7 linked regions of the Callithrix jacchus genome follow. The protein of the gene in region 2 binds, or shares a complex with, the protein of the main gene of each other region. Links are inferred from orthologs where the notes say so. Each region holds a gene or a part of one and is shown on either strand. Other genes may lie near its edges. The genes, in order: olfactory receptor 51E2, guanine nucleotide-binding protein G(s) subunit alpha isoforms XLas, FZD3, SCTR, HRH1, HRH2 and GPR21.

Evidence for each region.
Region 1: the proteins of guanine nucleotide-binding protein G(s) subunit alpha isoforms XLas (region 2) and olfactory receptor 51E2 are in contact, whole or in part, in a cryo-EM structure (PDB 8F76), measured with the Homo sapiens proteins. The link is inferred for Callithrix jacchus from reciprocal best matches to the Homo sapiens genes GNAS and OR51E2. Residues at the interface, in NP_000507.1 of Homo sapiens: Gln31, Gln35, Arg38, His41, Asp215, Val217, Phe219, Tyr358, Phe376, Cys379, Arg380, Ile383, Gln384, Arg385, His387, Leu388, Arg389, Gln390, Tyr391, Glu392, Leu393, Leu394; in NP_110401.1 of Homo sapiens: Met58, Tyr59, Asp120, Arg121, Ala124, Ile125, Cys126, His127, Pro128, Leu129, Arg130, His131, Ala132, Leu135, Asn136, Asn137, Ile220, Thr223, Val224, Leu227, Pro228, Ser229, Glu232, Lys235, Ala236, Thr239, Cys240, Lys294, Thr295, Lys296.
Region 3: the proteins of guanine nucleotide-binding protein G(s) subunit alpha isoforms XLas (region 2) and FZD3 are in contact, whole or in part, in a cryo-EM structure (PDB 8JHI), measured with the Homo sapiens proteins. The link is inferred for Callithrix jacchus from reciprocal best matches to the Homo sapiens genes GNAS and FZD3. Residues at the interface, in NP_000507.1 of Homo sapiens: Lys34, Tyr358, Gln384, His387, Leu388, Tyr391, Glu392, Leu393, Leu394; in NP_001399840.1 of Homo sapiens: Arg232, Lys318, Ser321, Glu322, Leu397, Val400, Lys408, Lys413, Leu414, Phe417.
Region 4: the proteins of guanine nucleotide-binding protein G(s) subunit alpha isoforms XLas (region 2) and SCTR are in contact, whole or in part, in a cryo-EM structure (PDB 6WZG), measured with the Homo sapiens proteins. The link is inferred for Callithrix jacchus from reciprocal best matches to the Homo sapiens genes GNAS and SCTR. Residues at the interface, in NP_000507.1 of Homo sapiens: Gln35, His41, Val217, Phe219, Thr350, Tyr358, Phe376, Cys379, Arg380, Asp381, Ile383, Gln384, Arg385, His387, Leu388, Gln390, Tyr391, Glu392, Leu393, Leu394; in NP_002971.2 of Homo sapiens: Arg174, His178, Tyr239, Leu240, Leu243, Leu244, Ala245, Ser247, Phe248, Ser250, Glu251, Arg252, Leu320, Lys323, Thr326, Gln327, Thr329, Arg339, Arg342, Ser343, Leu347, Tyr388, Leu391, Asn392, Gly393.
Region 5: the proteins of guanine nucleotide-binding protein G(s) subunit alpha isoforms XLas (region 2) and HRH1 are in contact, whole or in part, in a cryo-EM structure (PDB 9LRB), measured with the Homo sapiens proteins. The link is inferred for Callithrix jacchus from reciprocal best matches to the Homo sapiens genes GNAS and HRH1. Residues at the interface, in NP_000507.1 of Homo sapiens: Gln35, Arg38, Ala39, His41, Lys216, Val217, Asn218, Phe376, Cys379, Arg380, Asp381, Ile383, Gln384, Arg385, His387, Leu388, Gln390, Tyr391, Glu392, Leu393, Leu394; in NP_000852.1 of Homo sapiens: Asp124, Arg125, Ser128, Val129, Gln130, Pro132, Leu133, Arg134, Leu136, Lys137, Arg139, Thr140, Ile213, Ala216, Val217, Gln219, His220, Cys221, His223, Lys412, Ala413, Gln416, Leu417, Cys471, Asn472.
Region 6: the proteins of guanine nucleotide-binding protein G(s) subunit alpha isoforms XLas (region 2) and HRH2 are in contact, whole or in part, in a cryo-EM structure (PDB 9IXJ), measured with the Homo sapiens proteins. The link is inferred for Callithrix jacchus from reciprocal best matches to the Homo sapiens genes GNAS and HRH2. Residues at the interface, in NP_000507.1 of Homo sapiens: Gln35, Arg38, Ala39, His41, Asp215, Lys216, Val217, Asp343, Leu346, Arg347, Thr350, Tyr358, Phe376, Arg380, Asp381, Ile383, Gln384, Arg385, His387, Leu388, Arg389, Gln390, Tyr391, Glu392, Leu393, Leu394; in XP_006714928.1 of Homo sapiens: Arg116, Ala119, Val120, Met121, Pro123, Leu124, Arg125, Tyr126, Pro127, Val128, Ile205, Val208, Ala209, Gln212, Ala213, Arg215, Ile216, Ile219, Ser220, Trp222, Lys223, Lys231, Ala232, Thr235, Leu236, Leu291, Asn292, Arg293, Asp294, Arg296.
Region 7: the proteins of guanine nucleotide-binding protein G(s) subunit alpha isoforms XLas (region 2) and GPR21 are in contact, whole or in part, in a cryo-EM structure (PDB 8HMV), measured with the Homo sapiens proteins. The link is inferred for Callithrix jacchus from reciprocal best matches to the Homo sapiens genes GNAS and GPR21. Residues at the interface, in NP_000507.1 of Homo sapiens: Gln35, Arg38, His41, Val217, Pro321, Asp323, Arg342, Asp343, Leu346, Arg347, Thr350, Tyr358, Cys359, Pro361, Phe376, Cys379, Arg380, Asp381, Ile383, Gln384, Arg385, His387, Leu388, Gln390, Tyr391, Glu392, Leu393, Leu394; in NP_005285.1 of Homo sapiens: His61, His62, Thr64, Arg127, Ala130, Ile131, Thr132, Pro134, Leu135, Thr136, Tyr137, Asn138, Thr142, Pro143, Ile214, Ile217, Cys218, His221, Thr222, Asp224, Ile225, Arg228, Gln229, Arg231, Phe232, Arg249, Tyr250, Val253, Leu254, Asn308.

Annotation. Positions count from the first base shown.
Region 1 is NC_133511.1:70,104,858-70,108,919, forward strand, and holds olfactory receptor 51E2, read right to left. Parts: upstream 2,768-4,062; 5' UTR 2,724-2,767; coding exon 1,761-2,723; 3' UTR 501-1,760; downstream 1-500. UniProt on the Homo sapiens protein: Olfactory receptor. Activated by the odorant, beta-ionone, a synthetic terpenoid. The activity of this receptor is probably mediated by G-proteins leading to the elevation of intracellular Ca(2+), cAMP and activation of the protein kinases PKA and MAPK3/MAPK1.
Region 2 is NC_133506.1:54,421,010-54,425,249, reverse strand, and holds the start of guanine nucleotide-binding protein G(s) subunit alpha isoforms XLas, read right to left. Parts: upstream 2,801-4,240; 5' UTR 2,270-2,800; coding exon 175-2,269; intron 1-174. UniProt on the Homo sapiens protein: Guanine nucleotide-binding proteins (G proteins) function as transducers in numerous signaling pathways controlled by G protein-coupled receptors (GPCRs).
Region 3 is NC_133514.1:13,195,532-13,199,031, forward strand, and holds part of FZD3 (frizzled-3), read right to left. Parts: intron 1,299-3,500; 5' UTR 955-1,298; coding exon 766-954; intron 1-765. UniProt on the Homo sapiens protein: Receptor for Wnt proteins.
Region 4 is NC_133507.1:104,042,776-104,046,275, forward strand, and holds part of SCTR (secretin receptor), read right to left. Parts: intron 1,554-3,500; coding exon 1,512-1,553; coding exon of another isoform or gene 1,287-1,511; exon of another isoform or gene 1,146-1,286; intron 438-1,145; coding exon 288-437; 3' UTR 1-287.
Region 5 is NC_133516.1:68,377,143-68,381,115, reverse strand, and holds the start of HRH1 (histamine H1 receptor), read right to left. Parts: upstream 2,801-3,973; 5' UTR 2,748-2,800; intron 1-2,747. UniProt on the Homo sapiens protein: G-protein-coupled receptor for histamine, a biogenic amine that functions as an immune modulator and a neurotransmitter.
Region 6 is NC_133503.1:68,048,740-68,052,901, reverse strand, and holds the start of HRH2 (histamine H2 receptor), read right to left. Parts: upstream 2,801-4,162; 5' UTR 2,718-2,800; intron 1-2,717. UniProt on the Homo sapiens protein: The H2 subclass of histamine receptors mediates gastric acid secretion. Also appears to regulate gastrointestinal motility and intestinal secretion. Possible role in regulating cell growth and differentiation.
Region 7 is NC_133502.1:171,660,020-171,664,043, forward strand, and holds the start of GPR21 (putative G-protein coupled receptor 21), read left to right. Parts: upstream 1-1,224; 5' UTR 1,225-1,298; intron 1,299-1,728; exon of another isoform or gene 1,729-1,822; 5' UTR 1,823-2,124; coding exon 2,125-3,174; 3' UTR 3,175-4,024. UniProt on the Homo sapiens protein: Orphan receptor.

The sequences.
Region 1 (4,062 bases), on a different chromosome or scaffold from region 2:
ACCCATATCTTCCATTGTGTTTCCTCCCCTTAGTCCTGGCCTACACACATTGACTAACTGCATGACTTTGGAAGCCACTTTACTGCCTCTGAACAATGAAGCACAGTTTAGTGCTCACATATCTATATGCTAGCAGAGCCCATCATCAGTAGACATCAAGTACCTGTGGTTCCCTTCTCCTAAGAGAGCCTATGGTATAGAGTCTCCCTTGTGGTTTATCTACCCAAGTCCAGAACCCAAAACCTGTTTAGTGAAGCTACAGAAGGAACATATAGGCCCAACGATTGTGTTAAGATTTCAGCCGCTCACTGGATCTACTTTACAGTACAGTGGGAATATCCTACCTTGAAAAAAGATGCATTCAGCATCCTTACCACTGTGTGAACGATTCCAGTCAGGATTCCTGCACTGGTGAGAAAGAAGACTAGGAAATCTCTCACATCTCCAATTCTGATTTATAGGATTCTATAAATGTAAAATCAATAGGTATAACACTCAGCAAAACTTAAAATAAAATTTTATTTTATCTCATACTTAAGTTCAGACAATAGCATGTGGTGTACATTCAAAATTTTTGACAGGCACAGAGCACATTAAAAAAATGAAGACATGATCAAGGATCAGATATACCACAACATTCTCCCTGAATCTGGAAAGAAGCAAGCAATAAGACCATGAAAGGTGGCTGTCATACAGGAAGAGTATTCTAGATTTGTTGTCCACAGCTAGGGCAGGGTTATCTCTCACCACAAGTACAGAGCCATTGGTGTTAGCGTATAGCAGAGAGAAAACAGAGGATTTGTACAGCTGAGGAAATAAATGGCAGATGTTACACAGGAAGCAATATAATATGGTAGTTAAGTAACTGTATTCAATTATCCAATTTAATTTTAAACCTTGGCACAATGCCCACAAGCTGTGTGACTTTAGTTCCCTTGCTAATATAAACTTAATTTCTCTCAATTATAATAAAGGGACTCAAATGGTACCTACTCCATAAAATTAGGAAGAGCACATAAAACCCATAAAGCACTTATCATAGTGCCCAGAACATTGTAAGTGCACATGATATATTCATAGGCATTATTATTCAGGGCTTTATCAATTCCCAGATAATGCATAATAACAGTAGAGATTGTGACAAGCCCTGGCTTCCATAAATTGGTCAGCTTAATTTTTGCTATTTCATTTGATATGAAACTATATTTTATGCTTTGAGACAGGGTCTTGCTCTGCTGCTCAGGCTGAAGTGTAATGATGTGATTCTGGCTCACTGTAACCTCAAACTCCTGGACTCAAGTGATTCTCCCACCTCAGTCTCCTGGGCAGTGGGGGCTACAGTTGCATGCCACCATGCCCAGCTATTATATTTCCTCTTTAAAAAGTTGTACATGACAGTTAACCAATACTTTCATAATAAAAAAATTGAAAGTAGAGACAACACTAAATCATTAGTAATCTGAGCACATTTCCTCCAAGGCATATGCTATTTTTCAACTTGGTTTCAATCAAGTATCTTTATTGTTTTTCTTAACATTATAAGCTTGTTTGGTTTTATAGTTCTCATTAAATCACATAATACTCCATTAATATGTATTATTCCACATAATAGTCTTCTAAGTAGATGGATCATATTTTTGTTGATTATTCCATCCAGAGAAAAGCACTCATGTGCTTGTGGGCAACTGGAACTAAGCTAGTGTTATAAATAATTATGTTTGTCAAGCCATTGAAGACAAGGGGAAGTGTAACGTTAAGGGTCACTTGCCTCCCACAGCCTGAAGGTCCTTGTCACAGCTGATCTTGAACATAGCCAGCACCCGCGTTCTGATATGTTTGGTTTTGGCGCCGTAGATGATGGGATTGATGACAGGAGGCAGCAGCAGGTAGATGTCACCCATGACAACACGCACAATGGGATGAAGGCTGTTTCCAAAGCGGTGTACCACTGAGAGGCCAATAAGTGGCACATAGAAGGCAAGTACCACACCAATGTGTGACACACATGTCCCAAAGGCCTTGGCCCGCTCTGACTTGGAAGGCAGTTGTAGCACTGTCCGTATTATCAGAAAATAGGATAAGGAGATGAACATTACATCCACGCCCATGACCAGCAGAATGGCAGTAAGACCATATACCACATTGGGTAATGTGTCTGCATAGGCCAACTTCATCACATCCTGGTGCACACAATAGGAGTGTGAGAGCACATTGGAGTGGCAGAAGGCCAGTCTCTTGATGAGCAGAGGCAATGGGAAAAAAAAGAGGGATCCGCGGACCACAGCCACGATGCCAATCTGGGCTGTTACTGTATTGTTGAACACGGCAGCATGGCGCAGTGGGTGGCAGATGGCCACATAACGGTCAAAGGCCATGGCCAGTAGGATGGTGGATTCAATGGCTGAGAGGGCATGAATAAAGAACATCTGGGTAAGGCAGGCCTCATAGCTAATCTCTCGGGAATCAAACCAGAAAAGGGCAAGTATCTTAGGCATGGTGGATGTGGATAAGGCCAGGTCAATGGCTGCCAGCATGCAGAGAAAGAGGTACATTGGAGTGTGCAGGCTGCGTTCCGTTCTTACAATGAAGACCACGATGCAATTTCCAAATACTGCCATGACATACATAGAAAGGAGGGGGAAGCCAAACCAGAAATGGGCTTCCTCTAATCCTGGGATACCAATAAGCACAAAAGTGGCATGTGTAAAGTTGCAGGAACTCATAGCTGGAACTGAGGAGAGGTGACTGGAGAGGGTGAGGTTGCACCGGCGGTCTGCAGGGACATAGAGCACAATCAGAGAATGCCCTGGAATCTTGAAACTGACATCCTACCCCTTTTGTCTCCTCCCACCCCAACTTAGGGTCTTTCATAAGCCCTGAAGCCCTCTTCCAAAGCGGGGACTGTGACAGCTCAAATTCATTTATGCGTCACTACTTTCAAGGTTTATTTAAAATTTTAAAAGGCAACCATGAGAGAGCAATCCTTTTTCCAAAATGTAGCCTTCTCAAATTCCCTCAGATACTTCCTGCTGGTCTATAGCTTTGGTGGCCCTTTTATTCTGATAGGTGTTAAGAGATACAGTTTTGGAAGCTCCTTCCAGATAAGGCTGCCTTTCTTATGTTACTTTCCGCACATTCCTCCCTCCCTCCCTCCCTCCCTCCTCCCCCCTCCCCCTCCCCCTCCCTCCCTCCTCCCCTCCCCCCTTTCCTTCCTCCCTCCCTCCCTCCCTCCCTTCCTTTCTTCCTTCCTTCCGGGAGAGGCATGATCACAGAGGAATCTTCCTATTTAGACTTGAAACATGAGTTGAAATTAGACAGAGAGTGGAATAATGGGTCTTCCAAGGCAGTGAGGATAGGAGATAACTTTGCAACTTTCAGGATTCCCAGTCCTCAATTCTAAGGTCAGCCAGAGGAATAAGATGCACAGCAATGGCATTGTTTTTTAAAACTTAAAAGAATATAAATAAACAAAAACCAAGAAAAATAATTCCAAAAGTCAATCTTTTTAGGATTAAAGGAAACTCATCTGTGGTCATAAAATCAAAAGTAGTGGTTCCCTCCAATGACTTCTTCATAGACAAAGGTGCTGGCAGGATGGCAGGACACAGGTGAGTACCTCCACACCCAAAAGCTTCCTACAAGGCCATTTGAATTGCATCCAAGGATAGTTTGAGTTGAGTCCTTACTTTGGGAGAAGTATTATTAATTTTACAATGATATTTTTAGAGCCTTGTCTTTCCTGAAACTTGTGCCAGTAAGTCATTCATCTCAGGGGGAGACATTTCTTTTTTAGAAGCCCAGTGTTTCTTTACCTCAACTCCGTACCCTCACCCACACACCTGGGCTCTGACTTCATGAAACTTCTTCTCTGCTAGGTTTCCTAGGTGACCTAATCTTTAGAGATAATTTTCTCTAAAAATCCAAAGCCTTGGCTGCAAGAAGCAGAGGCTCTAACTCTTGGAAATAAACTATGCAGGTGTCTTCATTGATTATCTGTCACTGAAACAGGTTAACCTGCTTATATTGCAACCCCCCACCCCAGAATTCTTCACTCATCATCCG
Region 2 (4,240 bases):
CTCCCAGGGCAAAGTTAGGGTCCCTCCCTGGAACTTTCTAGCAGGCTCTTCCTGCCTTTGGCTGAACCCCCTCCTCCCACTGCCGAGCCCCGCGCGTCCCACCGGGCAGCCCTGCCACCCCCTCCCCGGTTCCCTGGCGGCCCTGCTGCCGACAGGCAGAGTCCGCCGCATTACCTAGAAGCAGCAGGCGGTGCGTACACATGTAGCCCATCTTTTCGTCCTGGAGTTGCTTGTCGATGAGCTTGCTGCGTTTCTTCTCTGCACGCTTCTGGGCCCGCTTCTCCAGGGCTTCTTTGCGCATCTGTCTGCGTTTCTCCGCCAGGGGTACCTTCTTGACCTTGGGGGAGCGTGAAGCTTTGGGCTGGGGACTCTCAGATCGACCGAAGCAGCCCCCGAAGGCTTGCATGAGGAAGTTGCGGAGTAAGTTGCGCCGGGGCTTTCGGCGGCGGCGGTTTCGCCGATGCTGAAACCAGCGGATGCATCCGAAGGTCCCATCGTCGGACTCGTCTCCGCTGGAGTCATCGTCGCTGCTGGCCGCCCCTTCATCGTAGTACCCGTGGCGGCCGCGGCTGCGCTCGGACTTGCCCCGCCAGGCAGACGCGCGAGTAGGCCGTGGAGTAGGCGGATCGGCAGCCTGGATTTCGGGGCTGGGGGGTCTAAGGAGATGGAGCTTGCGTCTGGCCCCGGAGGCAGGGGCTGCAGAGGCTGCCCGGGCTGCTGGGGCTGCCCGGGCGGCAGGAGCGGCTGGGGCAGCTGGGGCCCCAGCGTCAGGCGCAGCTGGGGCGACAGGGGCTGCCCCGGTCTCAGCAGCCGCAGGGGCGCCGGGAGCGTCAGGGGCTGCCCGGGAGTCAGGATCGGCTGGGGCGTCAGGGGCTGCCCCGGCATCTGGATCGGCTGGGGCGTCAGGGGCTGCCCCAGAGTCGGGATCGGCTGGGGCTGCCCCAGAGTCGGGATCGGCTGGGGCTGTCCCGGAGTCGGGATCGGCTGGGGCTTCCCGGGAGTCGGGACTGCCTGGGGCTGTCCCGGAGTCGGGATCGGCTGGGGCTGCCCGGGAGTCGGGATCGGCTGGGGCTGCAGGGGCCGCCCTGGCTGCGGGATCCGCTGAGGCTGCCCCGGCGGCAGGGGATCTGTCCCCCGGAGAGGGGACTTTTCCTCCCTCCGTGGCATCGGTGGCTGTGCCTCCTTCCATCTCGGCTGCTTCCTCCTCAACTGGGGGTCTCTCTGCTCGCTCTCTCTTATCTGGGGCTCCGGAGACCTTGATGGGCGGGCCGTCAAGCGCGATTGGGGGGCTGTCCATGTTGACGGGAGCGTCGTCGACCCCAGCGGGGGCGCTGCCAATCTCAAGTGGGGGTCCGGAGATCTCCATCGGGGGGCTGCTGCTGGTGAAGTTAGGAGGTCTGACAGCCTCTCGGGATGGGCTGCCGATGGTTCCTGGGACCCAGAGGGGAGGCGCATTCGCGGCGGGAGTGAGGCGGACCGCACTCGAGACCGCGACTGCCGCAAACTGGCCACCGCCGTCGTCGACTTGTGCGATGACTCGGGAAAGCCCCGGGGGTGGGCTGTCTTCCCCAAAGCCTTCTCCATCAAGCTCAAATGGCATAGTCTCCTCAGGGGGAGGGCTATAGCCTCCTCCGGAGCCAGCCTTTGGAGGCTTGAGGGCTTGGGGCTCCTCGGGAGGAGCTCTGGGGACCCCTGCAGCACCTGGGCCTCCTGGAGCAAGGTCTGGGACCTGTAAGAGAGGTTGACTGCAGCCTCTCTGGGCAGGCTGGTCAAATTCAAAGGGCATAGCTTCTTCTGGTGGAGGGCTGTATCCTCCCACACCTGGTCTGCCACCACCGAAGGCTCCAGGCTCCATGAGTGCTGAGCCGAAGGCCTCAAGGCCTGTCTGGGCCCCACTGGGGGATCCAGGCTGCTCCAGTGTGGGCCAGAAGCCTCCCAAGCTGGGCTGTTCGACCTCGAAGGGCATGGCTTCCTCGGGAGGTGGGCTGTAGCTTCCATGGGCTCCAGCTTCCTTGAAGGGCGGACTGAGAACCTGAAAGTTGGGCCTGGAGACCACTGGGGTTCCACAGGCCTCGCCGTCATTCTCGAGGGGGATGGGCTCGCTGTAAGGCGGTTCGGTCTCCATCTCTTCGGCTGGGCTAGGCCCAGCACCGGGGGCAGCTGCCCCTGGGGCCTCCAAAGGTGGTTGCTCGGGCTGTTCCCCGATTTCAGGGGAGATATCGTGTTGTCCTGACATATTATTGCCGTCGAGGCAGTTGCGCACGCCCATAACACGGTGGCGGCTTCTTAAAATAAGTTTGGGGCTCCGTAGGACGGAGCACCCAACCGAACTAGGGTGAAAAAAAAATTTTAGAAAAAAATCAAAGTACCAGCTGGAAAGTTCTCCAGCCTCACTTTCCAACCCTTGTGAGGTTGGGGGGTTCAGGGCCTGGAACCCTAGACCGAGGCTGAAGCAACCCAATTGTTACTGGTGGAGTCTTGGTTCCTTCCAGGCCACTTTTTATCCCCTTAGGCTGCACCTCCAGCCCCTCTTCCTTGGTCTGTCCTTATACCCTCCTCTCTTTTTCTTTCTGCTCCAGGCCAGTCCCGCCTGCTTGGATCTGACGAGCGTGCCGATTCGGTCCGAAAATCGCCAGTAGCGCTCTCTCTCTGCCACCAGAGGACGCCGGTTCCAGTGCCAAGCTGGCTCCGGCTCCAGGAGCCTGCTCCCGGCACCAGCAGCCCAGGACTTTGGGTAAGGGGGCTGATGAGCGCAGGCCTCGCAGGGATGTTTTGGCTCCTTCCACTCCTCTCTCCGACTGATTTGGAGTCTTTCTCCTCGCTTCTCCCCTGTCCAGAGAAAGATCTCCTGCGTTGCAGGACACGTGACGCAAGACGTGGGCCTCGGGACGCTGGAGTACAGGAGCTGAAACCCTCCCTCCCCAACCCAACAGACTCCTCGGGGGAGGGGGACTGAAGAAGGGTTTCATCACCCCAGGACACCCCCGAACCCCTGAGTCATAGCCCCCAGCCTCCAGGCAGCCCTGGATCTCAAGTCCCTGGTCCAGAGCGCAAGACTTTTGGTGCCTGGGAAGGGGGCGCAGGTGTGCACAGGGATGCGACAGGTGGTCGTGGGCCCACCAGAGAAGCAGAGAGAGGCGAGGGCGAGGGGATGCCGAGTGTGCGAGCGCATAATGTGTTTTTTAAATGCCTTGGGTGTACTTTTTGCTGCTTTTGCTTGTCGCTCGCTGAGTTTGGCTCCGGTAAAGCACTTTAAGAGACCCCATCCCCATCACACTCTAGGGGTCTCTACAGTAGCCCATAGCGGTGCAGGCAGGGTGCTCCGCCGTTTATGTGGATGGTGACGCAGGGGAATAAGAGGGTCTCAGGTGCGCACCGCCGCGAGCAAAGCCCCCTAGGCAGTAGCTGCGGTGGTACCGATGGAGGGGTGGGACCCGTGCTGCTCAAAGGGAACCCCACAAATTGGTCTCAGAGTTTCACAGGTCCTACTGTTCCAGGGAAGGATTAAAGGGGATTTTGGTTGCGGTTTATGGCCGGTTTGGGGTGGTTTCGGAGAATGGACTGTGCCGTGCGCACTGAACCCACTGATAAACACCGTGCCGCGCGGCAACCACAGCTGAGGTGCGTGGCTCGCAGCTTCAGGCGCCCGCCGCAGAGCCGGTCAGTCCGCTTCTCTAGCCCCACTACAGCCTGTCTCCAGCACCCTTCCAGCCCCTCTCCTCTCGCTCTGGGTATCTTAGTGTAGCCCTTTACTTTTCCACTGCAAGAGCCGGCTGAGGTAGCACTGAGCCCGCCATCCAGCCACAAACCCGGCGGTTGCCCTCGCAGCTGCGCTCCCGCTACCGTGCTGCGGTGGGCTCAGAGCCAGCGGAAGGTAAACACCCACATCACCTGGTGGCCTTGGTGCGTGCACATGCTGTGTTCTGGTCTGGGGTCTGCAGAGAGATTTGAGCCCCTGAGAAAAGCTGTTGCTAGGGGTCACGTAAAACCCGGCAGGCGCGTATCGGGTCTTTCTCAACAGTGATTAGGGGCGTATCGGGTCTGTCTCAACAGTGATTGACAGACTGTTGAGCCACGTTTAGGCACAGAGCAGCTGGGTAGGGTGTCACCTGGTCTGCAGAACCCTGGGGGAGAAGAGGCTGGATCAGTGTTACAGAGGGCGGGCTACAGCAAGCAGGGCGCATGGCGCGGGCCGCTGTATACCAGCCGCAGGCGAGCGAACCACCGCACGGGGCGATCC
Region 3 (3,500 bases), on a different chromosome or scaffold from region 2:
ATGTATTTTCACTTTGTGCCTTACAGAAGCCTCTAAGTTACAAGCAAAGAAACTATGCTTGTAAGAGAAAATTGATATAACTTGGCCAAAGTATACAGCTAGAAAGTGGTAGAGGTAGAATTCAAACCCAGGTTGGTCTAACTCAAAGCCTATGCTATTATTACCACTGGTTACTGCCTCCTAGTTCTGTTTTTTTTTTTTTTTTTGCTGCCTCCTAGTTCTTATCTGGTATATATACTCCTGTCCTCAATTCCAAAACCCTTATAGGCATACATACACTTAATTAAACCTATTATTAACTATATCAATTAAAGTGTTCATAGTTTCTAAATTTGAAATGGTTTCTAAACTAAAATCATTTTAAAATGCTGAAGAATTACCATTAAAAAATTCAAATAAGGCAGCAAACTTTCATAAAATTCTGTGAGATCAAGAACAGATAACTCATACGGACAAACACTTTTTCATTGCTTGGGAGTTATTCTTAAAATTTAAACTTCTTAATGGCTATTAATGTCTCATTTTCTGTTGTTTCAAATTTCTTTATAAAAGTATAATGTCTAAAATATAAAAGTAACATTCACCAAACATGAATTCTTCAATCTATTAAAGTCTGAAGCAAAACGTATAAAATTTTAAATGTTTAAGATATAATTTAAAATAGCATATTATTTTCCTGTTTGTCAAACATACTCATTAGACTGGTTGATGGGCCAACCTAAGAGTCACTTACTAAGATACGTCAAATAATAGATCAAGTCTTACCTCCATTGCTAAAGCTGCTGTCTGTTGGTCATAATGATTCAGAAGATTAGGCATGAAGGTAGTATTATAAGGCAAATCTTGGCACATCCTCAAGGTAATAGGTTCACAAGAAAATAAACTGTGCCCACCTATATGCCCCATGAGCATAGTCAAGGGCCAAAAACAGAAGACGATCCAACTCACAGCCATCCTTCCCGGATCTGAACAAGATTCGGATGATCAGGCCTACTCAATATGTATTTTAGATATTTATACACCTGCAGATCTCAGCTTGAAGGTACTTCTTCTATATCTTACTGTTAAGTTCTTCAAACAGTTAAATACTCTTCGCACCGTCAGAGGTTTGTTAGCTTGGTCTCACAAAAGGCGTTTGTTTTTGGTTTCACAACATGGGAAAATGACATCATCTTGTCTCTTCTTTTCATTTTATTACATGGGGCACATTTGGCCAACAAATCAAGTTGATCAACCACATTCCCAAACCACAGATTCCATCTTAGGAGAAGAGCTATTTCTTCCTTCGACTGAAATATCTGAAAAGTATTATTTTAAAAATGAGAGACGTTAGTCATTTCCTCTCAAAGTATTATGGACTTGACATTAAAAATCTTTGATGAGAGATATTATACTGACCTAACAGTTAACAATATATGGGTACTTTATAGACCTAATTTTTCTACTTTATCATTTATGCTATAGCTGAAATGATCCTTAAATAGTATTTAAATGCAAATTTAATTTTCTTCCCTTAGTTGCTTCTATAATACATGGTTTAACTTTTCATCTATGATGGCAATCTTTCTTTTTTTTGAGATGGAGTTTCACGCTTGTTACCCAGGGTGGAGTGCAATGGCGCGATCTCGGCTCACCACAACCTCCGCCTCCTGGGTTCAGGCAAGTCTGCCTCAGCCTCCTGAGTAGCTGGGATTACAGGCACACGCCACCATGCCCAGCTAATTTTTTGTATTTTTAGTAGAGACGGGGTTCCACCATGTTGACCAGGATGGTCTCGATCTCTTGACCTCGTGATCCACCCGCCTTGGCCTCCCAAAGTGCTGGGATTACAGGCTTGAGCCACCGCACCCAGCCGATGACAATCTTTCAACGGCCACAATATATAATTGACCCATTTTGAAAAATTCTTATGCTATTGTCCTAAATTTTATTTAAATGATATATATTATGCTTACAACCTAAATTATCGAACTTAAAATTGTATGTTTTAATCTTTAATAGTATATTTTTACATTAACTGATGTGGCAGAAGACATCCGTGAAAGTGGTCTGAAAATTAAGTCAAAAAATACAGATTCAAGCCTCTTTCTAGCTGTGTAAACATACCACTTAAGTTCTATGCACCCAGAATTTTTCTTCTTGAAAATGATTCCAATACCACCTTGCTCACAAGGATGATATGAGTGAATCATAAGATAAGGTATGCAAAAATACTTTATAAATGGTAACTCAGTATTAAACATTAGACATTTTAATCACTGAACAAGTTTATACAAATGCTACCTCTATCAACCAATACTGAACTGACATATAGAAGGTTCTAAAATATTAGGAAGTTTTCACAATATTACATTTTTTTTAAGATAATACAAAAATTTAGTTGCATAGATGGAGCACTAGACTTAGGAATATTTCATCAACAAATGGTCATTACACACAGCCATGCTGCACAGAGAAGAGAAATCATCCCTAAAAAGTCACAGCAGAAATAGGAAAAATGCCCAGTTATTAGTTCCATGGAGCTTTAGAATTTCTAACTTGTATGTACTTGCCAGGGGCAAAAATACATTTGATTCTCAATCAGAGCTGAGAGGGTATGGATGGAATGGAGGGCAGGTCTGGTATGAAAAAAACACATTCTAACCTATCACATTTTGATTTGGTTTAGTAATGATATTAACTTTGCTTTTATTTCATTTTGTTTCATATGCACTGAATATGTTTGTTGTGGTGAGCCTAGGTTGGGAAAAGATGAAAAATTCAGGTTCAGAAATTCTCAAAGATCCCGATGAATAGGACAACTCAAATACTAGCACCCATGATAACTTAGACATGAAACCTGGAACTGCTTTGACTTAAGCAGGGAAAGAAACTGTCCTTTGCACATTATCAATGATTGGGACCTCTATGTCCCAAGCTTCAGTTACCAGGCAGAAAACTATTGGGAGAAAGTAAAACAGTGGCAGAATCTTCCCCATTTCTCCCTTTAGTAGACGGTCTTGACTAACAGAAGAGAAAAAGAAAAGTCTGCGGTCCCTAGAATTAGGAAATGAGGTTAAAAGCAAACCCTGCTCAAAACGCCTTCAAACTCCCCATACGTTCTGTACCAGAAATTTCTGAAACAGCTTCTTGGCCTGCCATATTTTTTTTCTCCCCACAAATGTTGAGGTCGTCTATAGAAAACTGTTATTAACCACAGTTAAAAACATACTTATCTTAATTACCATACAGCACAGTAACAATTATGCATATCATTAAATATGTCAAATAACTGTTGAAAGTTTTATTTGACTGTAGTTTTAAAATATCCATGTAAGTTTGGTCTTTGTAGTTTATTGCTCATGTAGCATGTTCATTTACTTGCAACTAAAAAAATTAAAGGGAACATTACTCCCTGTTGAATACGGATACAGTAACACCAAGAATTTCAAAAATTTCATTTAGACTAATCTATTTTTCAAACAGGTATGGGTTTCAAATCAATGGTTCAAAGAAGACTA
Region 4 (3,500 bases), on a different chromosome or scaffold from region 2:
TGGACAAATATAGACCAAATCTTGTCCCAGGCACCACTTATTTCCCTGTCCCTTTCTGGGACCCCTGAACTACTCTTCCCATAAGAGCAAACAAACCAAATCTCAGGCCTTATCCTGCCCCACAGTGCCCCACGTCCCTTCTGAGGGGTCCAGGGCCTGAGGAGGGGCATTTTCAGCTGAAGGAGGACATAGGGTGTCTTCTGGGAAAACAGGCTGTCCTGCAGTAGTGTCCAGCCTTCTCAGGACCCATCTTGGTCTCTGTCCATGGGTGGCTCTGCTCCAGCCTCTCAGATCATGCTGGTCCTGCAGGTACCCTGGCTCTGCTCCAAGTGGCTGGCCTTGGTGCTGTTGCTGAAGGAAGAGTTTAGGGCCACGGGATGCATTGTGAACTCACGGAGGTGCCACTGCTGCCATTTCTTCTGAACCTCCAGCTGCACCTGCCCGGGAGACCGGAGACCAGCCATCAGCCCAGGAGGAGAGGACAGTTCTGTGCCTGGAACCCAACTCACTCCCCTGGGGACTCCACACAGGCCCTGCTGCTCCTGCCCAGCTGACCTGTCCCCTAGCCTGCAGGCTACTCAGATTGACCGTTTTCAGCCCCAATGTCCAGTAGTTACTGAGGGTCCCCTCTCTCCTGGGCATATGCACCTGCAATCTCATTACATTATGTCCCAAAGAAAGGACTGTGCACCTGAGACAACTGGATACTTATTCCCATGAAGCCACCCAAGCTCAGAATTCATCTGGGACCCAGGGAGTTGCTCTTTGTAAATTTACTTCACAATTCCCAGCTGGAGCAGCTGAACCTTTGAGGCTAGGCTTGATATTTGATTCTTGGGAAACATCAAAGGTCATTCCCATTCAAGTGCAGCAAACCAGATAGATGGTCGGTAGTCACAGAAAGGCCTAGCTCATGTTGACTACGTAGCTCTGTATGCCCAGAGCCAGGGTCCTGACCCAAATGCTCTATGCGAGGCTTGAGTCCTTAGAGTATGCAGTCTCCCAAGGAGTCCATGCTCATCTGAAGATCCCTAAGGACTGAGCTGCAGACAGTTCCTCTGAGTCACCCACTTTGCACGTGGGAAGACTGAGGCCCAGAGCAGGGCAGTGATGAGATCGCCCATTGAACAAGCAGCAGGGCAGTCAGGAACCTGGGATCTGCCCAACTTTCTTCCTGCATTTTCTGAACAGATAAACACCGGCACCAGGAGTGCTTGTTAAAAAACACTTTCCCAGACCCCACCCCAGACCTACAGAATTTATTTTTGTGGAATGAGAAACCGGGATCAGGGTCCAGCCATGGTTTTAACATCCCTCCAGGTGATTCTGTTCCTCCCATTAAGCAAGCTCAGACTCCTAAAAGAACTGGCCGAGCCCCTCGCCACCAGACCCAGGATTCCCTCCAACCCTTTCCATCCCCCTTCCCACCACCCCTCCAGGTAGCTCCTTCTGACCTGGAACCCAATGGCTAGGAGCTCTCCGGGGTACCTGAGTGACCCAAGACCACTCACCTCCCCGTTGAGGAAGCAGTAGAGGACAGCCACCACCAGTCCCTGCCAGAGGAATAGAGGCAACAGGGTTACTGCAGGTGCTCAGCCCCTACCCACCTGGCCTGAGCCAGCTAGCCAGCTGCGCCCTCCCCAGGTCTCTTTCTCTCTCTCTTTTTTTTTTTTCTTTTTTGAGATGGAGTTTCCCTCTTGTTGCCCCGGCTGGAGCACAATGAGGCAATCTTGGCTCACAGCAAGCTCTGCCTCCGGGGTTCAAGTGATTCTCCTGCCTCAGTCTCCCAAGAGGCTGGGATTACAGGCATGGGCCACCATGTCCAGCTAATTTTGTATTTTTAGTAGAGATGGGGTTTCTCCATGTTGGTCAGGCTGGTCTCGAACTCCCAACCTCAGGTGATACACCCGCCTCAGCCTCCCAAAGTATTGGGATTACAGGTGTGAGTCACCGCGCCTGGCCCCCAGGTCTCTTAATCACCAGCTGCAGGCTCACTTCCCCACCTGTCTTTCATCAGCTCATTGGTGGGCTTAATCTGTACAACTTCTCAGGGATATCGGCATTTTAACAAAAGTTGGTGGCAAAACTGAAGGGGTTTGCTTTAGAATTTCAGGTATCAATGACCGCTGCATAGACTGGGGACTATTTGAGGGGCAAAAACACTCAGGGCATTCGTTTCCAAGTTTTGTCGCACATTTGAATCACCTGAGACCTTTGGTCCAGGTTGCAGTCCCCAGTTCCCAATATCTGGGGGTATCCGCAGCTTTTATAGATCCCCAGATAGTTTCAATAAACGGGCATCATGATCTGGAAACTACTGTCAAAGAGAGTAAAAGGCACTTCAAGACAGGCTTTGAAACAAAACAGACTTGGAGCACAGCTAGGCCTGAGTAATTGTAGGACTCTTGGTCCCAGGGGCTTCATTTAATCCTTGCCAAAGCCTTTCAAGGCAAGTGGGAAGATCTCCACCTTACACGCAGGGAAACTGAGGCACGAAGAGGTTTAGGCACGCCTGGAGCTCTGTGTGCTTGGCCCAGAGCCACGAGCAGGCCGAGGGTGCTGCCCACCACATGGGCTGCAGTTGCCTGGCTTCCCCTGCCTTGGGGTCCAAGGACATTTTTCACTGTTCGGGGAGGGAATTAGCTGTGCTACAGTGTATATAGGGCAGGCCTCACACAAGACAGCAAGTTTACTAATTTCCACAGTGATTCTGCGATCATTAAGAATGAAGACTTTGAAGAATTTTAATGACATAAAGAAATGTTCATGATGGGCATGATAGAGAATTAAACAAAACAAGCAGGTTACAAAACCATACACATCGTGACCCCAGTTATGGGTGTGTGTGTGTGTGTGTATGTGTGTCTTTGTGGACAGAAAAGAGACAGAAGTAAACACCAACAGAGGTTATTTCTGGGTTATGAGATTATAGATTTTTTTCTTCTTGTTTTTCTTTTTTTTTTTTTAACTTTTCCTTATTTCCCAAATTAGTCACAATAAGCAAGCATTATTTATACAATCAGAAAGGCTAAATACATTTTTAAAGAGTATATGAAGGTCAGGCATAGTGGCTCACGCCTATAATCCCAGCACTTTGGGAAGCTGAAGCAGGTAGATCACGAGGTCAATGAGTTCAAGACCAGCCTGACCAATATGGTGAAACCCCCGTCTCTATTAAAAATACAAAAATTAGCTGAGTGTCGTGGCACATGCCTGTAATCCCAGCTACTTAGGTGGCTGAGGCAGGAGAATTGCTTGAACCCGGGATGTGAAGGTTGCCATGAACCGAGATTGCGCCACTGCACTCCAGCCTGGGTTACAGAATGAGACTCTGTCTCAAAAAAAAAGAGTGTACGACAGAGATTGTGTTATTAGTTGTGTGTGTTCTTTAAGCCCCTGCCTTTTAGAAATACATACTAAAGTGTTTGCAGATCAAACAACATGATGTCTTGAATTTACTTAAAAAGATGGGGATAGTACGTAGGGACAGAGATGAAACA
Region 5 (3,973 bases), on a different chromosome or scaffold from region 2:
CTTTTCTCCACATTTCCAACCTAACATTAATCTGGATAAATAGATACTGGCAAATAGAACTAATGGCATTTTGCAGATGAGGAAACCAAAGCCCATAGTCACTCGGTTCTAAGGGCCAGAGCTCAGGTTCCACCGTAAGCTTTCTGTCCCTCTAGAAAACATCTGATTGAAAACTGTCCCAAGCCATGCTCCTCGGAACCAAGCCAAAGTTCAAGCTGCACTGTGCAGCAGCAATATCAGCCACACAAGTGACACTCGTGACAATGCCCAACGCCTGCTGAGTGCCTAGCAGAGTGTCAGAAGTTTATATGGGTCCACACTAAGACTTCAAGTTTCAGGCTATTTAAAGCTTGAGACTACAGTAAGACTTCGGGGGCACACACTCTATCTAATCAGACTTACTTTCACTTTACAGATGAGAAGGCAAGAGGCCTGCAGAGGCTGGGCAATCTGCAGGGGGCAGAGCCAGGATACAGAGCTGGACTGTTTGACCTTGATAGAGACAATAATAACAACTGACTCTTAACACTGACACGTATTACATGGCACCACTCAAGTGCTTTTTGCACATCAACACACCGAATTCTCTTACAACCCAGGGAGGAAGGTGCCAGGAATACCCCCATTCTAAAAACAGAGAAACTAAGGAACAGAGCCATGTAGCAACTTGACCAAGGCCACAAAACTCACAAGCAACAGTCCTGGGATTTGAATCCAGGCAGGTGAGCTTCAGAATCCCACACTCTTGATGTCTTTGCTATGTGTTTTCTGCTAAGGAAAAGCCAGACACTCCATTGTGAAGAGGAAAGTGCAAACACAGAATTCAGAGAGCTTAAGAGGAAGAGACTCATGTACAAGTTCCTCCTCCCTTAGACCCTCAGCTGAGTGCTAGGAAGGACAACTCCCAGCCCAGCATTGGCCAAGCTACTCTGGGGTGCAGGGTCTCTTGGCAGGCAACTCCGGCCTCCACCCAGCTCTGAAATCATGAACAGGTGGCACCTGCCCATCTCCTGCCTCCACGGGATTCTCTGTCACATTTGAAAACAAAATCAATGCTAGATATCCCCTGCCCTTCTCCATAGACTCTCCCCAGGAGAAATGCCTGAATCACACTGGGGATTTACATGGGGCTGTCCGGGATTCCTGTGAACAGCAGACCTGCTGCTTGGCTTCCCTCTATTCACCTCTGCTGCTGCCAGCCACAAGCACAGAAGGACCTAAGGTCCCACCTGCCACCTGAGTTTCATTCATAATCTAGAGGGAGTCAGGCAAGATGGGTGTTCAAACTCCAACTCTGCCATGGGCCAGCTGGGCAATCTTAAGCAAGCCACTTAACCTCTCTGAGCCTCAGTAGACTATCTGTTCAGTAATAGTAATTACCTCGCAAGAATGGTGTGAGTATTAAGTGAAATAATGCATAATGATGCTCTCATGTGTCCGCCCTCCCTCTCTTCCAGTCCCTGCTGGTTTTTGGCTGTCTCCAAAGACCCTTCTTATAAGACCCTCAATTCCCCTCTTCTTCATGTTCCAGGGACACAGTGTGTCTGTGCTCCTGTCACTAGTTTCTGGCCCCTCAATCATGAAATGTGATCTTCAGGCACCTTCCAGCCTGGGAACCTTGCTCACTGGGACTTCCAGGCTGCCCCCTCCTGTCTGCTCCGGTCTGAGGTGGGAGCCCTCTGCTGGAGGATGGCTACTCTGCCTGGAACATCTCTGCATGACCAGCTGCCAGGCAAGCGGACATCTCGGAGGGATCAGGGATTTAGGAGGGGAGGAGTGGGATCTTCATGGAGGACTGGGGGTTAGGGGGTCGGGCAACAGAGAGGGAGAGGTGGCTTCCTTGAGGAGCTGCTGTACTCTGGCTCCTGCTCCTGGCTTCCTGGCCTCCTTCCAGAAGAACTGAGAGCAACTTCCAGAATCTGATCTCTAAAAGAGCAGCTCCGGTGCGCTTCTGTCACCGGAATCCACTCCCTGGCCATAATATCCACTCATTTTCCCAAAGCATCCTCTTTCGAGTACAATGAGGAGGAGGTGATCCGCCTCTTCCTCCACACCCCCAGTTGCCACCAAACTGCAGGAGGAGGGTGGGTGGTGGTCGGGACACCCCCCACCTCCGACTCCAGGTGACACTGAGCCTGGGGCTCACCCCAGTGTAGTCAAGTGATTTGGGCCAGGATGACTCCGATCAAAACCCTGGCTCTCTCCCTTTAAGCAGCTGGTGCTGCTGGGCACAACTTTGCCTCCCCGAGCCTCACTTTCCTCCTCTGTAACATTAGTATAACAATACCCGGTTCATCGAGTTACAAGGAGAATTGCAACAGATAATGTATGCCCAAAGCCTTGCACAGAGAACGCTCTCAACCGATGGGCTGGCACTAGGGTTAACAGCAAACTCAGACCCTGGGGAGGCTCAAAGAAGACAAGGCTCCTTCTCTGGGCGCTGGAGCCAAAGACTGACGCTCAGGGCGCGCACCCTGCCCAAGCCTGGGGAAACTAAAGGTGTCTGCCTGTCGAGTGCTGGGGCCACAATGCGGAGAGGGGAGCGGTGCCACCGAGCGAACCGCGCTCCGCCACCCTACCCAGGCCACCCGTGTCGCGAGGGTACCCAAGCGCCCATCTCAAACCGCCGGCTCTCGGGGTCCCGGCCACCCGGCAGGGATATCCGGATCCCAGCCCAGCCAGCGCGCTGCCTCGTTTCGCTGCGGCGGCCCCGCTCCCGCCCAAGCCGGTGCCCCGCTGCGACTCACCGGCGCTGGCTCCCGGGAAAGTTTGGTGGTGCGGCGGCCAGGCTGCTCGGTGTGCCTCGGGGGCGGCGGCGGGGGCGCAGGGGAGAGCTCGGGGAGGCGGGGCGCAGGAGGAGGAGCCGCGCCTAGGGGCCCACCCGCAAGCAGCGGGGAAGGCGGGGACCCGGGACCTGAGGGCCTGCAGCGTCCCCGCACCCGGCTCCACGCGCCCAGGGCCGCCCCCGCAGAGGGTGGGAACGCGAGGGGCGCGCCTCTCGCTCGGACACCCTCTCCAGGCTTTCGCCCCAGGTTTGGAGCTGCTCCTGCTGGGTACCCGGGCGCGGATCTGCGCGGTGGATGGCTCTGTGGGTTTGGAAAGACAGGTGGCAGAAGGGTCAGAACCTTGGTGCGACAACTCCATCCCCACCCACGCACTTGCAGGCACACAAAACGACAGACACAGATAAATCAAGACAAAGAGGCAGAGATGGAAATAGAGATGAAACAATTGTTGGCAGATTCAATCACAGGTAGACTGAAAAAAACAGATAGTGATACCCGTGCCCCTCCCTCATTCCTGCTAGGGGCGCCAAAATGGAAAAAGGCAAAGTCAGACAAAGGTGGAACAAGATTGACAGATAGGGACCCTACCCCTAGAGGTTTCGTGGGGAACTAAGGAGACCCAGGGTCTGTAACGTCACACTTCTCTTCTATTTATCCCTAGCCTGTCCTGATGAATGGGTCCGCCTTTCAAAATAGGTTGTGTTTTTTGTTTTTTTGTTTTTTGTTTTTGCGACAAAGTTTCACTCTTGTTACCCAGGCTGGAGTGCAATGGCGCGATCTCGGCTCACGGCAACCTCCGCCTCCTGGGTTCAGGCAATTCTCCTGCCCCAGCCTCCCGAGTAGCTGGGATTACAGGCACGCGCCACCATGCCCAGATAATTTTTTTTGTATTTTTAGTAGAGACAGGGTTTCACCATGTTGACCAGGATGGTCTCGATCTCTTGACCTCGTGATCCACCCGCCTTGGCCTCCCAAAGTGCTGGGATTACAGGCGTGAGCCACCACACCCGGCCAATAGGCTGTGTTTTAATTAGCATCCTGTGCCATCTTGGGCAGCGAGGTGAGGGGAGTGGTGGGGTTAGGGTGAGGCCCCTCGGCAAGTCCCAGGGAACCTCTGTCCCTGGCTCTGGGAGCCTGAGGATTCTTCCTGGCTGTCTTCCTTTCCAGAACTGGGAGAGAGAGGTCGA
Region 6 (4,162 bases), on a different chromosome or scaffold from region 2:
CGAGTAGCTGGGACTACAGACACACACCACCATGCTCAGCTAATTTTTGTATTTTTAGTAGAGATGGGGTTTCACCATGTTGGCCAGTATGGTCTCAATCTCCTGACCTTATGATCCACCTACCTCTGGTGGCTCCCAAAGTGCTGGGATTATAGACATGAGCCACCACACCCAGCCAGTACCTCTTTTTTTCAATCAGGCACCCTCCTTCTTGCTCTCAAAACTCTAAGCCAGGTAGGCCACTAATTATTAAAGAACATGTTCATTGCATAAACTCTGGAAAGTCCAGAAAAAGTAGTCAGGGAACAAATCTCCCATGACCCCACCATCTGTGGGCAAACATTGTTAACCCTCTCTAGCCTATGTCCTCCCAGTCTTTTTTCTAAGCTCTTGCCACACATTTGGGACCCTGCCATCTGTATGCCTATGCAAAACACGTTTCCATTCATTAAAAACTCTCCACTTTCGGTAGTCACGTGGCTGTTCCATAACTTTATTGATTCCCTGTTGGACATTTAGACACTCTGTGACTGTTGGTGAACATCTCTGCACATGAAAGAGGCTTTGTTCATATCTCCACCCTTTCATTTGGATGTACTCCTCTTCTTTAAAACATTTTTGGCAAAGGAACTTCTCTAGCCTGCTGGGACGCCCTTCTCCCCATCATCAGGGTTTTCTTCCTCAAATCTGAACTAAATCCTTGGGATTGGAACTTAATCCTGTTTCCCCTGCTTTGGGGTGTTGGCGGAGATGGACCACAGCTGGTCTTGTTTTTCCCATGGACTCCTCGCCTGGGAGGGTCAGTGGTTAATCATCAGCCTAGGATGGAGAGTGGGATGTGCCTATGAGCTCAGGAGAATCAGCCTAGGCTGAGATGAATACAGACAAGGTTAACTGGGACAAGGTGATGGAGGAAGCAGAGAAATTGGTGGGCTCGGGTGAGTCAGTCTGATATCTGCTTCCTATGTAGTACTGAGTAGTGACCTTCCTTCCTTCCAGACCCTTCGAGAAATCACTGGCAAGAGTGCGGCAACCCTGCTGCCAGCCTTCAGGCTCTCTTTCTCCAGTGCTTTGTAGCAGCCCTTCCCATGACACATGGAACAAGAAGCCAGAGCTGATTGTGCACGTGCCAGGTGCCAGGCCCTGTGCTCCACCTTAACTTATACAGTCATATTTTGGGGCCAGCACGATACAACCAGGAGCATCCTGGAGGCGGGCAGACTTGGATCCAGTCTCTGCACAGGCACTTCTTACCAGTATGACCACATGGCAATCATTTACCTCTGGGACCCTCAGTTTCCTCATCTGTAAATTGTGGTTTGATGGCACCAGTTTCCCAGGATTGCTGTGGTGGCTCTAGCCAGTGCCGTACTTGCAATGCACCGAGTACCAGGCCTGCAAGGAGCAGGTTCTCGAGATAGGTTATTTTCTCATGATACGGAATTCTCCTTATATCCTAGGTCAGATATAAGGAGAAAATGCCACCATCCAGACCCAGAGATGTCAAAAAATGTAATCTATCCAATTGCCTTGGATAACCTCCAGGGACAGGAAACTCATTAGTAGGTAGGAATTTATAACTTCATTTTATAAATAAGGAAACTGAGGTGCTGAGAGATTATGCCAGGGGTCTTCACAGGACAGAAACTGCCATCTGAGAGACGTCATGTCTTAGAGGAGCATCAGCCTCAGGATAGGTGTGGAGTGGAGGCTGGAGCTTCTGGGCCCCCCACATCCCCTAGGTCCTGCTTCATGCCCACCACCACCCAGCTACCACCCAGCTCCACTGATTGACCATCTCTGGCAAAGAACACAGAGGGGATCTAAAGCGTACAGATGACTTCCCAGGAGGTAACTGGTGCCAGGACTGGACCCACCTGAGCTAGGGCGTGACAGCTGCCGCTGGGGACATCACAGCACACAGGCACTTTCCTGCCCCACTTCCTTCGCCTCCCAACACCTCACGGAGGGGTGGGGGATTAGTATGGCCCTTTTCATGGAGAAGGAAACTGACTGAGGCTCTCAAGCTCAAGGTCACTGCCCAAACTGGGATTCCTATCAGAGGCCACTTGCGCGGCTCATCCCACAGGCAAATCCCCCTCCAGATGTCCTCAGCAAGGACTCCCAACCGCTGAGTGCTGCCTCCCGACGCTCCGGGCGTCGGGCAGCAGGCAGCAGCCCAGCGGGATGAAGGCAGGTCGTTCTGGTTCCCTGAGGCATAGAAGCCCCCTCCCCACCAGCCCCCCCGCCCTCCGCTGGCTTCCCTGTAGCAGAAAGTTGCTCCATGCTCGGACAGACACGTCGCCGCGAGAAAATGCCACCACCCAGACCCGGGGACAAAACGGGGAGTGCTTCGGCGCAAGTGGACTTTCCAAATCCACCCCTCTGCCTGCAGAGGAGACACAAAGCCGACCCGCGCCCCAAGCACTGCTGAGGACCGGGACTGCATCCCGAGCTCTCAACTCCCCCTTGGGGCAGGCACGACCCCCGCGGGTCACAGGAAACAGGCTGGCAGGACAGGCGGAGGCACCTGCCCAAGGTCAGGCACAGCCAGCGAGCAGTGGGGCCGGGGCTCGAACCCGGGTTCGGGGCCACGATGGCCACTGGGCATCCCGAAGCAGCGCCACGGGCGGCGCCGCAAGCTCAAGCAGGGTCTCCAAACCCTCCGGGACCCCACCCAGAGCCGAAGCCCCTCCGGGAGGCGGCGGCCGCGTTACCTGGTTCCGTTGCGGCTGGCGATGGCTCCGCACCGGGTTTGCCTTGATCCCACGCCCGCACCGGCTGCGCTCCGGGCAGGGATGGAGCAGGCGGCGCGCGCACGGCCTGCGCCCCGCGCCTCGCACCCACTTCCTCGTCTCCGCCCCCAACTCGCTCCTCCTTGCTCTCAACGCTCCTTCCCTTCCTTCCCTCTCCAAGTCTCCTGTCTCTCTCTCTCTCTCTCTCTCTCTCTCTCTCTCTCTCTCTCTCTCTCTCTCAGCGCGCACACACCCACATTTTCTCCCCCAGCCTACACCTCCACAGTCTCACCCACTTTCTGTTTTCCTTTCTCCTACACCCTCCCTCTTCATCTCGCGGACTCTGATACTTGCCCCTTCCTCTTCCTTTCTGTCACACTGCCCCCTTTTTCTCTCCCCTTTCCCCCTGGCTCCTTCCCTCTCCCCGCCCTGCTGATTGGTCAAGGGCCCGCCCTTGACCGGGCAACCGTTCTGTCTGAGCCCCAGCGTCCACCTGTGCAGATATTGGCTGAGTGGCCACAGCTGGAGGACCTGCCCTGGGTGGGCGCTAGATCCAGGAGGTCAGGTGGCATCCCTCACATTGGGCACTTAGGATCCAGGTGGAGTCAGGCTAGAAGGGGGAAATAACTAGTTTTGAGGGAAAAGCTTGAATAATTCTGGAATCTGAAATCTAGAAACACAAATGCAGAAATTAATTAGTCCAGGGGTTGTTAATTACCACAAAATAAATCAGCAAAACTTCAAAAACCCTAGGGCTTTGTTTTGATTGAAGGAAGGGATGAAGAGAGAGAGAGAAGTAAGGAAGTAGGCTTTCGGAAAAGGGATTTTGGGGATAGGGAGAATAACGCCCACCTTCCAGATGAGAAAATGAAGGCTCAGCTGGGAAAACCCATCTCTTAAATATCAAGATATCAAGGCCACTGTGTTAACCACGCAGATCTCCGTGGAGGGAGCCTGGGTGGGCAGGATGGTGAGATTTTCGCCAGGCCTGGACAGCAGCCCAGTGCAGGGGAGGCAGGCGGTCAGCTGGGCTGCCCTGGTTTGCTTGGGGAACCTGGTGTGTGGAGGGGGATTTCCATGGAAGCTTGGCAAAGGATAGCGAAAGCGAGGAGGGTTCAGCTAGCATGCATTTCAGACACATGCCACCGCTGATTGATGCACCACCTCAAGCCATTCTGTCACCATGGACCAGCCCTGTGCCAGGGGCTGCAATGCAGAAGATGGTCCCCTAGCTCTCAGTTCACAGCTTCTGGAGAGGCTATTATTGCACTGTGCATCCAAGTCATTGTCGTCTTGGAATGACATGAGTCTCCAAACTGGTCTTCTGGATGTCTCTCTTGCTCACCTGCAATTCACAAAGCAGCTCAGATAATCTCTGAAAAGTGTAAATCAGATCATGCCTTTCTACTTCCCTGCTTCAAGACCTT
Region 7 (4,024 bases), on a different chromosome or scaffold from region 2:
GTCAAATATTACTATCAGGCTTATGCTTAAGTAGGTTTTTATTTTGGCATCATGGCTGCATCTGGGACTGGCCAGACAGCTGCTGCTGCTTCGGATTTAAAATGTAATTCATTGCATTCTGATTATGGGTGCCCATTTATCTGTAATAAGAAAATGTGTATAAAATGAGTAAAAACGAAAGTTGGATCACATGTTTTTGCTCAGGTGCATACCTTTTGGAATGCTTTCAAACACCAACATTTGTTTATTGTCTCAGAGATCCCTGGAGGAAAAGATACTAAAATTACACATTTTCATAGCATTCTATTAGCTGAAAATTGTCAACATTTATGACATTACCAGGAAAACCACAATCTAATCCCAGTTTGCATTGTTTTAAGTAGGCAGAAACAAGATTGTATATTCTAAGATACAAAGGCTTATTTGTGCCATGAAACTTCCTGTAATATTCATGCCTGAATAGAAGAAGGTACATTTTCTTTTTTGTCTTTTATTTATATTCTTGTATACTGCTCAGCAAAATCGAAGCAAGAAACAGCGTCTCAAAACTATAGGGTAGTGTCAAATACAGGAACGATGTAATTTCTCTGTGCTATTTCTGTAGTATTCAGAATAGGAGATACTTTATTTTTCTCTTGAAAAGTGATTTTAAAGTTTCTTGGCCAATATTCAGTGAATCATGAGAGACAAAATTAATGAATAGCCTTCTAGCTAGAACTTCTTGTACAGCTGAATTATGTTTCTCAGTTGCCATACGCCATACACTTAAAGGAAGTTAACATGCTTCCTTTCTTTAATATTGCTCTTTGTTCTTTGGGAAAATGCCGTAAGAAAATAGGAAGTACCCCTCTAGCAGTGTGTTTCAGTCTAATTACTGACACTGACACCCTGTTCTGTTACTACCCCTTCTCCTTGCTAGCAGCCTGAATTCTGCTTATCTACTAAAAGAGGGATTCCAAACAGACGAGGAAACAGCTTTCAAATGATATACTATAGGCGTACCAAGCTATTCCCACACTGCGCAGTCTGGAAATCAGGGGGCACCTCTTTGACGATGAATTCCAATTAGTTGCTAAAGATGCCAGTGTGTGTGCGTGTACAGGCGTTTTCTTTCCCCTCCCCCTTTCTTCCTTTTTCCAAGCCCCCTCTTCTCCCTGTTTCCCCTCCTACTCCTTTATCCCCTCCCTCTGTGTCTCAGTTCTGCAGTAGGCAGGGTTGAAGCACATTCCTGCTCTGCAAGGCTTTCTGTTAAGGATGTATTGTGGCTTTTGTTTGGATTGCAGCATGCAGAATTACAGGTAACATTCTGAAATTGAACTAAACAGTAAATTCTGTTGAAATGTTTTCAAAGAGGCAAAATATTATATTGGAATCAGTGAAGAAAATAAATTATCTTGGCTAATTTTATTAGTGATAAGTGTAGTGAAAGATTTTCATAAATGTTGCTAGCAAATTTCTTTTCTCTCCCATGTCTCAAATGAAAGGAAATGGGGGTAAATCAATCTAACCGTGATTCATTTTGTTTTATGCTGATCTTGAAAGCTTGATGTTGCTGCTGCTACTCTATACCGTACGGATCAGTTATATGGGGTGCTATTGTGGGTAGCCATGAATAGTGGTGCCGGTAGGGGTGGAGTGGGAGGGATGATGCCAGCCTGAGCTAGCCAGGTTCTTTGATTAGGGCATTGGATGTGAAATGTAAAATGCTCTCTCCTTTTCTTCTATCAGCTGTTCAGAGGAGACTCATTACAACTCCTGCTGAAGCTCCTAATCTTCTTCCCTTCTCTTCTGCCCTTTCCCCCTACCCTCACTTGGCCTGAAGACGTTGTCCCCAGAGTTTGCCTTACTCCCCTGGTGCTATGTGTATGATGAACTTGGCATTATGGCCGCGTTTGGAACTGGCCAGACAACTGCTGCTGGCTCTCCTTATTCCAAGAAGGATTTAAAGGGGAATTGCACTGCAGGCAATGCACCACAGCAGCAGCATCAGGAGCTTGGGGACTAAGGCTCCTCTGGCATTATTACATACATGCAAAGCTGACCGCAATGACAGCGGCTGCTCCTTTGAACTGTTGGAAGCAGCCAAGCGGCAGCATGAAGTGACAGATCACTCCAGAGCTCAAGATGAACTCCACCTTGGATGGTAATCAGAGCAGCCACCTTTTTTGCCTCTTGGCATTTGGCTATTTGGAAACTGTCAATTTTTGCCTTTTGGAAGTATTGATTATTGTCTTTCTAACTGTATTGATTATTTCTGGCAACATCATTGTGATTTTTGTATTTCACTGTGCACCTTTGTTGAACCATCACACCACAAGTTATTTTATCCAGACTATGGCATATGCTGACCTTTTTGTTGGGATGAGCTGCCTGGTCCCTTCTTTATCACTCCTCCATCACCCCCTTCCAGTAGAGGAGTCCTTGACTTGCCAGATATTTGGTTTCGTAGTATCAGTTCTGAAGAGCGTCTCCATGACTTCTCTGGCTTGTATCAGCATTGATAGATACATTGCCATTACTAAACCTTTAACCTATAATACCCTGGTTACACCCTGGAGACTACGCCTGTGTATATTCCTGATTTGGCTGTACTCGACCCTGGTCTTCCTGCCTTCCTTTTTCCACTGGGGCAAACCTGGATATCATGGAGATGTGTTTCAGTGGTGTGCAGAGTCCTGGCACACCGACTCCTACTTCACCCTGTTCATCGTGATGATGTTATATGCCCCAGCAGCCCTTATTGTCTGCTTCACCTATTTCAACATCTTCCGCATCTGCCAACAGCACACAGAGGAAATCAGCAAAAGGCAAGCCCGCTTCAGCAGCCAGAGTGGGGAGACTGGGGAAGTGCAGGCCTGTCCTGATAAGCGCTATGCCATGGTCCTATTCCGAATCACTAGTGTATTTTACATCCTCTGGTTGCCATATATCATCTACTTCTTGTTGGAAAGCTCCACTGGCCACAGCAATCGCTTCGCATCCTTCTTGACCACCTGGCTTGCTATTAGTAACAGTTTCTGCAACTGTGTCATTTATAGTCTCTCCAACAGTGTATTCCAAAGAGGACTAAAGCGCCTCTCAGGGGCCATGTGTACTTCTTGTGCAAGTCAGACCACAGCCAACGACCCTTACACGGTTAGAAGCAAAGGCCCTCTTAATGGATGTCATGTCTGAAGTGGCTCAGATACGGAGTTCCCCTGTGTATGTATGTGTTTTATCTCTAAGTATTTCTAATTCACTAGAAAATCTGGGACAGAATACTTTGACTCTAAGCAATAGCATACAAATGGTTTGTATGGATACCTTCTAAGTTTGTAGAAATGGTTTTCAAAAGTGCTTTTGAAGACTCAAGATCATGAAGACAAATTGCTCTTGGTTCCAATTTTTGAAATGTTTTGGAAATGACTACAGTTCTCAGATTTAAAATGAATAAAGCCATATCTAACACCTCTCTCCAGCTGGCATGACTGAACCTGGGTGTGAAAAGCATCAGCATTTTAAAAAGTCATCATTTTCTTGTCACTTTCTGGGTTCTTTCCAGCTATTTGGGCTTCATGTGCAATTGATTTCTTCTAACAGGGAGTAGTAAAACATAAATTAAGAAGTTTTAGAAATTACTTTTTATGTATACTAAAGTATAACTACACTGCAAGTTTCAACACTGTCATTTAGAAAGCCAAATGTTCTATATTTTATTCTCTTGAGAGAATTCTCAGTAGGGTGAATAATGTGAACATATAAACATTAATTTTAGAATTCTACAGTGAACCATGAAGCAAAAGTACAATCAACTTATACAGTTTATGAAAAACTGAGCTATTTTTTGTGCCATGCTTCACAGAGATCTAAAAATAAGTGTGCATAGAAGTGATCATGTTTGTAGTATTTTTGCCCATGCCTTTGTGTTATGTCTATATTTAGAATATCTGAATTGTTAGATTTCTCTTTTATAGCAAAATGTGTTTAAATAAGCTAAAAAGCAATTGATAGGCTGTTGGCTGTCGATTTTATACTGGTGACTATA